Saccharomyces cerevisiae S288C: one gene and its partner. Each later gene encodes a partner of the first gene's protein in a complex. Each region holds a gene or a part of one and is shown on either strand. Other genes may lie near its edges. A codon is read from its position in the direction of its gene.

Evidence for each region. Proteins that work in one complex are often made in the same cells at the same time.
Region 2: the proteins of CDC31 (region 1) and SFI1 are in contact, whole or in part, in a crystal structure (PDB 2GV5), measured with the Saccharomyces cerevisiae proteins. Residues at the interface, in NP_014900.3 of Saccharomyces cerevisiae: Glu20 (codon at 1,802), Glu24 (codon at 1,814), Glu27 (codon at 1,823), Ala28 (codon at 1,826), Leu31 (codon at 1,835), Phe32 (codon at 1,838), Asp41 (codon at 1,865), His43 (codon at 1,871), Glu44 (codon at 1,874), Val47 (codon at 1,883), Lys50 (codon at 1,892), Ala51 (codon at 1,895), Leu52 (codon at 1,898), Gly53 (codon at 1,901), Arg92 (codon at 2,018), Glu97 (codon at 2,033), Arg100 (codon at 2,042), Ala101 (codon at 2,045), Leu104 (codon at 2,054), Phe105 (codon at 2,057), Leu118 (codon at 2,096), Arg120 (codon at 2,102), Val121 (codon at 2,105), Ala122 (codon at 2,108), Glu124 (codon at 2,114), Leu125 (codon at 2,117), Glu127 (codon at 2,123), Thr128 (codon at 2,126), Leu129 (codon at 2,129), Glu133 (codon at 2,141); in NP_013098.1 of Saccharomyces cerevisiae: Arg670 (codon at 3,846), Tyr674 (codon at 3,858), Cys678 (codon at 3,870), Asn679 (codon at 3,873), Gln681 (codon at 3,879), Ala682 (codon at 3,882), Ile683 (codon at 3,885), Lys685 (codon at 3,891), Arg686 (codon at 3,894), Asn687 (codon at 3,897), Tyr688 (codon at 3,900), Gln689 (codon at 3,903), Leu690 (codon at 3,906), Glu691 (codon at 3,909), Lys692 (codon at 3,912), Val694 (codon at 3,918), Leu695 (codon at 3,921), Lys696 (codon at 3,924), Lys697 (codon at 3,927), Phe698 (codon at 3,930), Arg699 (codon at 3,933), Glu700 (codon at 3,936), Arg701 (codon at 3,939), Leu702 (codon at 3,942), Ile705 (codon at 3,951).

Annotation. Positions count from the first base shown.
Region 1 is NC_001147.6:809,264-812,057, forward strand, and holds CDC31 (centrin), read left to right. Parts: upstream 1-1,744; coding exon 1,745-2,230; downstream 2,231-2,794. Other genes in the region: TRE2 (putative zinc metalloprotease), read right to left, coding at 1-1,420; HNT3 (DNA 5'-adenosine monophosphate hydrolase), read left to right, coding at 2,408-2,794. UniProt on the Saccharomyces cerevisiae protein: Functions as a component of the spindle pole body (SPB) half-bridge. At the SPB, it is recruited by KAR1 and MPS3 to the SPB half-bridge and involved in the initial steps of SPB duplication.
Region 2 is NC_001144.5:141,363-146,600, forward strand, and holds SFI1 (Sfi1p), read left to right. Parts: upstream 1-1,838; coding exon 1,839-4,679; downstream 4,680-5,238. Other genes in the region: ORC3 (origin recognition complex subunit 3), read left to right, coding at 1-1,561; H3 histone acetyltransferase RTT109, read left to right, coding at 4,929-5,238. UniProt on the Saccharomyces cerevisiae protein: Component of the spindle pole body (SPB) half-bridge involved in the initial steps of SPB duplication.

The DNA.
Region 1 (2,794 bases):
TCACCTCTTGGAATAATTGAACTATAGATAATAATGCAGCTGTACCAAAATTGGGATAAGTAGTTCCAAAATTGATGGAATTTCTCGATGCAGCAATTATTATAGCTTTGTCTGATTGTTCTCTCCCTTCAATTTTACCAACAATATTAGGAATAAAATGCTTTTCCCTAACATTAGTTTGCAGATCTACATCGATCAATACGTCTCCCATTTTCCCACTGTTACTACGATCACTATTACCATCATCAACCGTTACTCCTCCTGAAGATAAACGCGATAGTAGCTCTTTTCCTTGTCTCGTGGAGATTGGGATAGTTGGAATATGAGTTTGACGCCAAAATTTATGATCCTTTTCTTCTACAGGAGAACCATCCCAATTCAATCCTGATGCATCACCAGTCGAATATTGGGGCAATCCTACAGGCTTAGATTGAACAACGTCTATATTCTCACCATATGGCTCAGATATGAAGATTACAGCTTTAGCTCCGAATTTCTCAGCAATTAGTACTTGCTGACTCACTAATTTATCATATTGCAGTAAAAGCACATAGTCCTTCCCATCTTCTATCGTTTTCGAATCTTTTAAATGTTGTAAATCGTATGTTGTACCTTTGCCTCCATAAATCAAGCTCACTTTGGATAATTTCCCGTTAGAACTCAACGGATTGAAATTTTCTTTAGAAAGTTCTAGATCATGCTTTTCATTCTTGTTATCATAATATGAAATTGATACATTGCCTGGATAATTAGAATAAACTGAGTATCCCATTTCTTTAACCAATTTCAACCCATTGTTGTCAAAAGATTCCTGAATGTATCGATAAATAGCTGCATCACCCTTCGTTCCGGATCCATGAGGCATGCTACTAATATATTCCAAATCTCTCTCAAACTTTGCCAAATCCACGGATTTTTTGGCATATTCAAAAAGTATATCGTGTTGAGAAAACATCCCTTTAGATCCTGATGCCTTTTCGTTGAATAAGTAGCCACTTGACAAGACATAATATGCAATAAATGACATGAAAATGATGTAAAAGAACCTTCGAAGTATAAAGGGATTTCCGATTTTACTTAAGTAATAGTCAGCTTTGTCTGGAACGAATTTTGATATTTGTAAGAGTGGATGAATGATGTTTTCCATTAAGGGTTCCAAAATTTTTTCCTGAAACCCAATTGAAACCCTCTGTAGATGTGTTCTTTTGTGAAGATCATCGTGAGGGTCCTCTATATCAAATTCATAAGAAGGTGGTTCAGGTGGAGGCGTTATATTAGTTTCTATACTGTTGTCGTTAGAACTAGGAGGAGAATCATCAAAACGCTGGCTCATCAACAGATTATGGGACGACGACGCAGTAGGTATAGCATTTTCATGTTCAAAGTTTGTAGTTGACACTGGTTGATAACTGCTCCTCATTAAAATTACTTGATCTCAATACCCGGGGGTATTATCTTGGTTTGCAAATTAGTTACAGATTTCAAATAACCCAAAGCTTGATGTATTTCTCTAGTATTGAGAGGCGTTTAGGAAAAGAACAACTTTAATGATGCAGGAAGTACTTGCTTAACTAGTTCTTGCCTGATGCCGTAATTTTATCTACTAAATTTCCAAGAGTTTTGGAGGCTTAACTATTGCGAAATAGAGAGAAAAAAAGAAGAATCCTAATTAGTAAGTATGGAAGAGATTTATTAAACGAGAAAGGAAGTGAACCAAAGAAGAAACGGAAATAAATCATACAGTATGAGTAAGAACAGGTCATCGCTACAGTCTGGTCCACTTAATAGCGAGTTATTGGAGGAGCAAAAGCAAGAAATATATGAGGCGTTTTCATTGTTCGATATGAACAATGATGGGTTCCTCGATTACCACGAGTTGAAAGTAGCAATGAAGGCCCTGGGATTTGAGCTACCCAAGAGAGAAATACTTGACTTAATAGATGAATATGATAGTGAGGGGCGGCATTTGATGAAGTATGATGATTTTTATATTGTAATGGGGGAAAAAATATTGAAGAGAGATCCGTTAGATGAAATAAAAAGGGCATTCCAATTATTTGATGACGACCATACTGGGAAAATAAGTATTAAAAACTTGAGGCGTGTAGCTAAAGAATTAGGAGAAACTTTGACGGATGAAGAGCTGAGAGCGATGATTGAAGAGTTTGATTTGGATGGTGATGGCGAGATTAATGAAAACGAATTTATAGCTATTTGCACCGATAGTTAATTATGACTATATATTTAATCTATAAAAATGATTTGTAACTATATTAGTATACTCCCGTGGGTCTCTCGTTTTCTGTTTTAACTTACATCTTGCCCAAGGATGCACTTAAAAGTGAAAAAGCCAATCTAATCCTGCAGGGCAACAATAAGAGAAGACAATAAAACAAAACACTGAAAAATGTCATGGAGGTATGCGTTAAAAAACTACGTTACCAGCCCAGAAACGGTAAACGATGATACAGTCACATACTTTGATGATAAAGTGTCCATAATTAGAGACTCGTTTCCTAAATCAGAGTGCCATTTATTGATTCTACCACGAACTATGCAGCTGAGTAGAAGTCATCCTACTAAAGTGATTGATGCTAAGTTTAAGAATGAGTTTGAATCATACGTTAATTCTGCGATTGACCACATCTTTAGGCATTTTCAAGAAAAGTTCCGAATAAAGAAGAGTGATGATGACAAAGACCCCTGCTGGGATGACATATTAAAAGACAAAAACAAGTTTGTAAGAAATTTTGTACAAGTTGGGATACACAGCGTGCCTTCGATGGCCAACTTA
Region 2 (5,238 bases), on another chromosome or scaffold:
GAAAAGGCGATGCTTTAACACTATTTTCCTATTAGGTTCAGATAGTACGACAAAAATTGAACTTAAAGACGAATCTTCTCGCTACAACGTTTTGATTGAATTGACTCCGAAAGAATCTCCGAATGTAAGAATGATGCTTCGTAGGTCTATGTACAAACTTTACAGCGCAGCTGATGCAGAAGAACATCCAACTATCAAGTATGAAGACATTAACGATGAAGATGGCGATTTTACCGAGCAAAACAATGATGTATCATACGATCTGTCACTTGTGGAAAACTTCAAAAGGCTTTTTGGAAAAGACTTAGCAATGGTATTTAATTTTAAAGATGTAGATTCTATTAACTTCAACACATTGGATAACTTCATAATTCTATTGAAAAGTGCCTTCAAGTATGACCATGTTAAAATAAGTTTAATCTTTAATATTAATACAAACTTGTCAAATATTGAGAAAAATTTGAGACAATCAACCATACGACTTCTGAAGAGAAATTATCATAAACTAGACGTGTCGAGTAATAAAGGATTTAAGTACGGAAACCAAATCTTTCAAAGCTTTTTGGATACGGTTGATGGCAAACTAAATCTTTCAGATCGTTTTGTGGAATTCATTCTCAGCAAGATGGCAAATAATACTAATCACAACTTACAATTATTGACGAAGATGCTGGATTATTCGTTGATGTCGTACTTTTTCCAGAATGCCTTTTCAGTATTCATTGACCCTGTAAATGTTGATTTTTTGAACGACGACTACTTAAAAATACTGAGCAGATGTCCTACATTCATGTTCTTTGTCGAAGGTCTTATAAAGCAGCATGCTCCTGCTGACGAAATTCTTTCATTATTGACAAACAAAAACAGAGGCCTAGAAGAGTTTTTTGTTGAGTTTTTGGTAAGAGAGAACCCGATTAACGGGCATGCTAAGTTTGTTGCTCGATTCCTCGAAGAAGAATTGAATATAACCAATTTTAATCTGATAGAATTATATCATAATTTGCTTATTGGCAAACTAGACTCCTATCTAGATCGTTGGTCAGCATGTAAAGAGTATAAGGATCGGCTTCATTTTGAACCCATTGATACAATTTTTCAAGAGCTATTTACTTTGGACAACAGAAGTGGATTACTTACCCAGTCGATTTTCCCTTCTTACAAGTCAAATATCGAAGATAACTTACTAAGTTGGGAGCAGGTGCTGCCTTCGCTTGATAAAGAAAATTATGATACTCTTTCTGGAGATTTGGATAAAATAATGGCTCCGGTACTGGGTCAGCTATTCAAGCTTTATCGTGAGGCGAATATGACTATCAACATTTACGATTTCTACATTGCGTTCAGAGAAACATTACCAAAAGAGGAAATATTAAATTTCATAAGAAAAGATCCCTCCAACACCAAACTCTTAGAACTAGCAGAAACACCGGACGCATTTGACAAAGTAGCACTAATTTTATTCATGCAAGCAATCTTCGCCTTTGAAAACATGGGTCTCATTAAGTTTCAAAGCACCAAGAGTTACGATCTGGTAGAAAAATGTGTCTGGAGAGGAATTTAGATAAAGAATGCACGGATAAATAAGTAAATAAATAACCATACATATATAGAACCATAGAACCACGTTTTTGTAATGAACAGTCTACCTGTATCTCATCATTTTTCTGTGTTAACTATTATTATTATTATTATCGAATGGAGGGTAATATTATGTATAGGTAAAATAAATAGATAGTGCCATGATGCGCGAAGATTGGCAATGGGAAACTCAAGAAGGCAGCAACAAAAAAATAAAGGTGGCCTATTAATCACAATCTATTGCCTATATGTGCTAGGTTATGGGCAAATTCGGCACGACAAATAAATCAACGGAGAATCTTCTGCGTGATAAATTCGTACCCGAGACATCTCCAACTAATATTCCCACTGATGTACTCATCAAGCAAGGGCAAATAACGGATTCCACCGAATCACTAATTCATGGAGGCGCAGAAAGGTATATTGTTAACGCTTTAAAGCCTATAGAATTAAATAAAACTGAAGGCTTTTTCGAAGACCCGCCGTTCCATCTTCCTTCTCCACCGGTTGATTCGACAAATCTGGAGTATGAAGACGTTACCGATCTTCCTAAGAATGGTTTACGATATGATTTGAATGATATATCCGTTGAGGTAATCGAAGATTTATACCGCCAGATTGAAGCTTTTTTGGTTCATTTCAAACTATCCAGAAGTTTTTTACAAATTTTCAAAAACTATGTCAATATTCTTATTCAAGAAGGCATCAATCCTTTACGCGATGAGTACTTCACAATATTGGAAGATGAACTGAAAGGTTTTTTCACTTTCAATTCTGTTATAGAAGAGATTTTAGAAATATTTTTAATCCACCCTCGCAACAAATTCATTGCATTGTCCCTTGCAGAATATACCTACGCTAAGAACAAAATCAGAAGACATTTTAATCACTGGAAGACTGTATGTGAATTGAATGAAGAGGCAAACAGGTTTGCAAATCAAGCAAAGCTGAGGGTACAGGAAGCCGTCTTCTATATTTGGAGTGATAAAACATTAAAATACTCACAGATGGCCAACGATGAAGCTGAAAGTTTTAGGAATACTTGGCTACTATTTCGCTCGTTCCAACAATGGATAACTTTAACACAAACTCTTAAGGAGCAGTCAAGGTTAGCAGATCAGGCCTTTTTGAATAAGATGTTTAGGAAAATTTTAAAGGCACAAGAGCATTGGAAACACTTAGAAACTGTTAACACTGACAACATTAAGAAGATATTTTTACGAACAACATTTCATATATGGAAGCTAAGACATAAAGAAATAAACTACCACGGGTTGGAAAGAAGGATTTTCGAAAGAATAAAACAGAAAGTTATAAACTATGAATACAATAAGAGCATTGCAGAAAAAGTGAGGTCGTTTTCTCTACAAAGAAAATATCTGAATAAATGGGAAAAGAAAAACATTGAAAACGAAGATAAACTTGGGGCACTTTATGAACTGGAGAATAAATTCATCAAACAAAAGTTTTTTCGCAAATTAAACCGGTCATTTCAACATAGTCAACAAGAGGCAATTGCAAAGAGTAAACTAAATCAGACACTTTTGAGGTGCGTTTTTGAGAAGATGTGGCTGAAAAGATTCGAAGACCATCTGCATTTGTATTCAATTGTAAGTCTAAAAGAGGCTAACCTCGTGAAGCGTATTTTTCATTCATGGAAAAAACTTCTATATATTGACCTCAAAGCAAGCGATTATTCGAGGACTAATTTGCTCAAGTCATCATTGCGAAGTTGGAAACTTGAAGTAAAGTTAAAAATATTTGAGCAGAAATGTAAAAAGAGTATTCAAGCAAGCGCGTATCGTACATGGAGGAAAAGAATACAGTATGGGAAAATATCGAGCGAACATGTTAAAACGGCATTTTGTGCAAAATATCTTGGTGTGTGGAAAAGGAGGATGCTACAAATGAATTCTATGAATGACGAAGCATCCAAATTTTACGAAGAGGGTCTCGTAAATGAGTGTCTAGCTATATGGAAAGAACGCCTGATTAAAACTAAGGAATTGGAGGATAGATACAATTTCTTATGTAAGACACATGCAATTTTGACTGTAAAACGGACGCTAATGCATATTGATAATGTTCATTTGCTATATACGAAACTGGCGCCCTCTATGGATAGAGTAAAGCTTTCTAAGGCCTTTTTAAAGTGGCGGAAAGCCACAAGGTTCAAAGTCAGGCATAAGTTAAACGATATTTTACACGTTTATGAAAAGAGTAAAGAGCGCGAACTTCAAAGCCAACTGTTCAACGCTTGGCGAAATAGATTTTGCTTCTACACAGAAGAATGTAACATTCAGGCTATTTCAAAGAGAAACTACCAGCTTGAAAAAATGGTGCTGAAGAAATTTAGAGAAAGACTTTTAGAGATAGTAAAATCAGAAGAATTAGCAGACGAAGTTCGCGAAGAATTTGTGTTAGTCAAGACGTTTTATATTTGGAAAACTCATCTAGACGAAATATTTTATATGAGTACATTATTGGAACAATCGGAAGCTAATAAACAATTCATAATTACATCCAAATTCTTGAAAATGTGGAGTCTTCGATTCCTAAAAATTAAGCGTAATGATGAGACAGTCGAGGTGTTTCGTCATCGGTGGGACAGGGCCACTGTAAGGGGATTGTTATTATTATGGAAAAATCGTTCAGACAGTTCTCCAAAGAGAAGGAAGGACTTCAATCTTAAACATGAACTAAAAACTCCCATAAGATCAGACTCTCAAAACGCCTCAACCATACCAGGCTCAGAAAGAATAAAGCAGCACAGAATGGAAGCGATGAAGTCGCATTATAGCAGGGCAAGAAGAGCCATACCAAGTCCGGTGAAATCTTCCAGTGTTCTTGATTCTACAGCTAAAAAACAGATCAACCTTGAAAGTACGACAGGCTTAAACGGATCTCCGACGCGAGGAAAACCTCTAAGGTATTCTCCTAGGCGTACCACTAGAAACATGCCATCCAAAGTTGACCATATTGATTTTGGCAGAATACCCGCTGTACCTTTTAGCCTAAGCGCCAATTCTCCTAAAATCGATCAAGATATGGATTATATAAGAGAGCATGATAAATCCCCGTTAAGTCGTAAACGTCAATAGATATATATATTATGTACGTATGTATGTGTGCATATGTAGTCGTAACCTTTCTTGCTTCTGAGATGCATACAATTACTAATAATATTCTCCAGGTCTATGAAAACATCACAACATACTATACTTTTCGTGTTCGCGTTGTAAGCTATAATGGAAAATGGACGCCATAACGCATTACTTAACAAACTACAGTTTGTCAATAGAGTTGTCCAGTAGAGTTAAAAGGTCAATTCAACCGGTCTTCAATAAGACATGTCACTGAATGACTTCCTAAGTTCCGTGCTACCTGTCAGTGAACAATTTGAATACTTATCGTTGCAATCTATTCCGTTAGAAACCCATGCTGTCGTAACCCCAAATAAGGACGACAAAAGGGTCCCAAAAAGCACGATCAAGACTCAACACTTCTTTAGTCTATTTCACCAAGGAAAAGTTTTTTTTTCATTAGAAGTGTATGTGTATGTCACGCTTTGGGATGAAGCAGATGCCGAACGGTTAATATTTGTATCAAAGGCAGACACTAATGGTTATTGTAATACGAGGGTAAGCGTTAGAGATATTA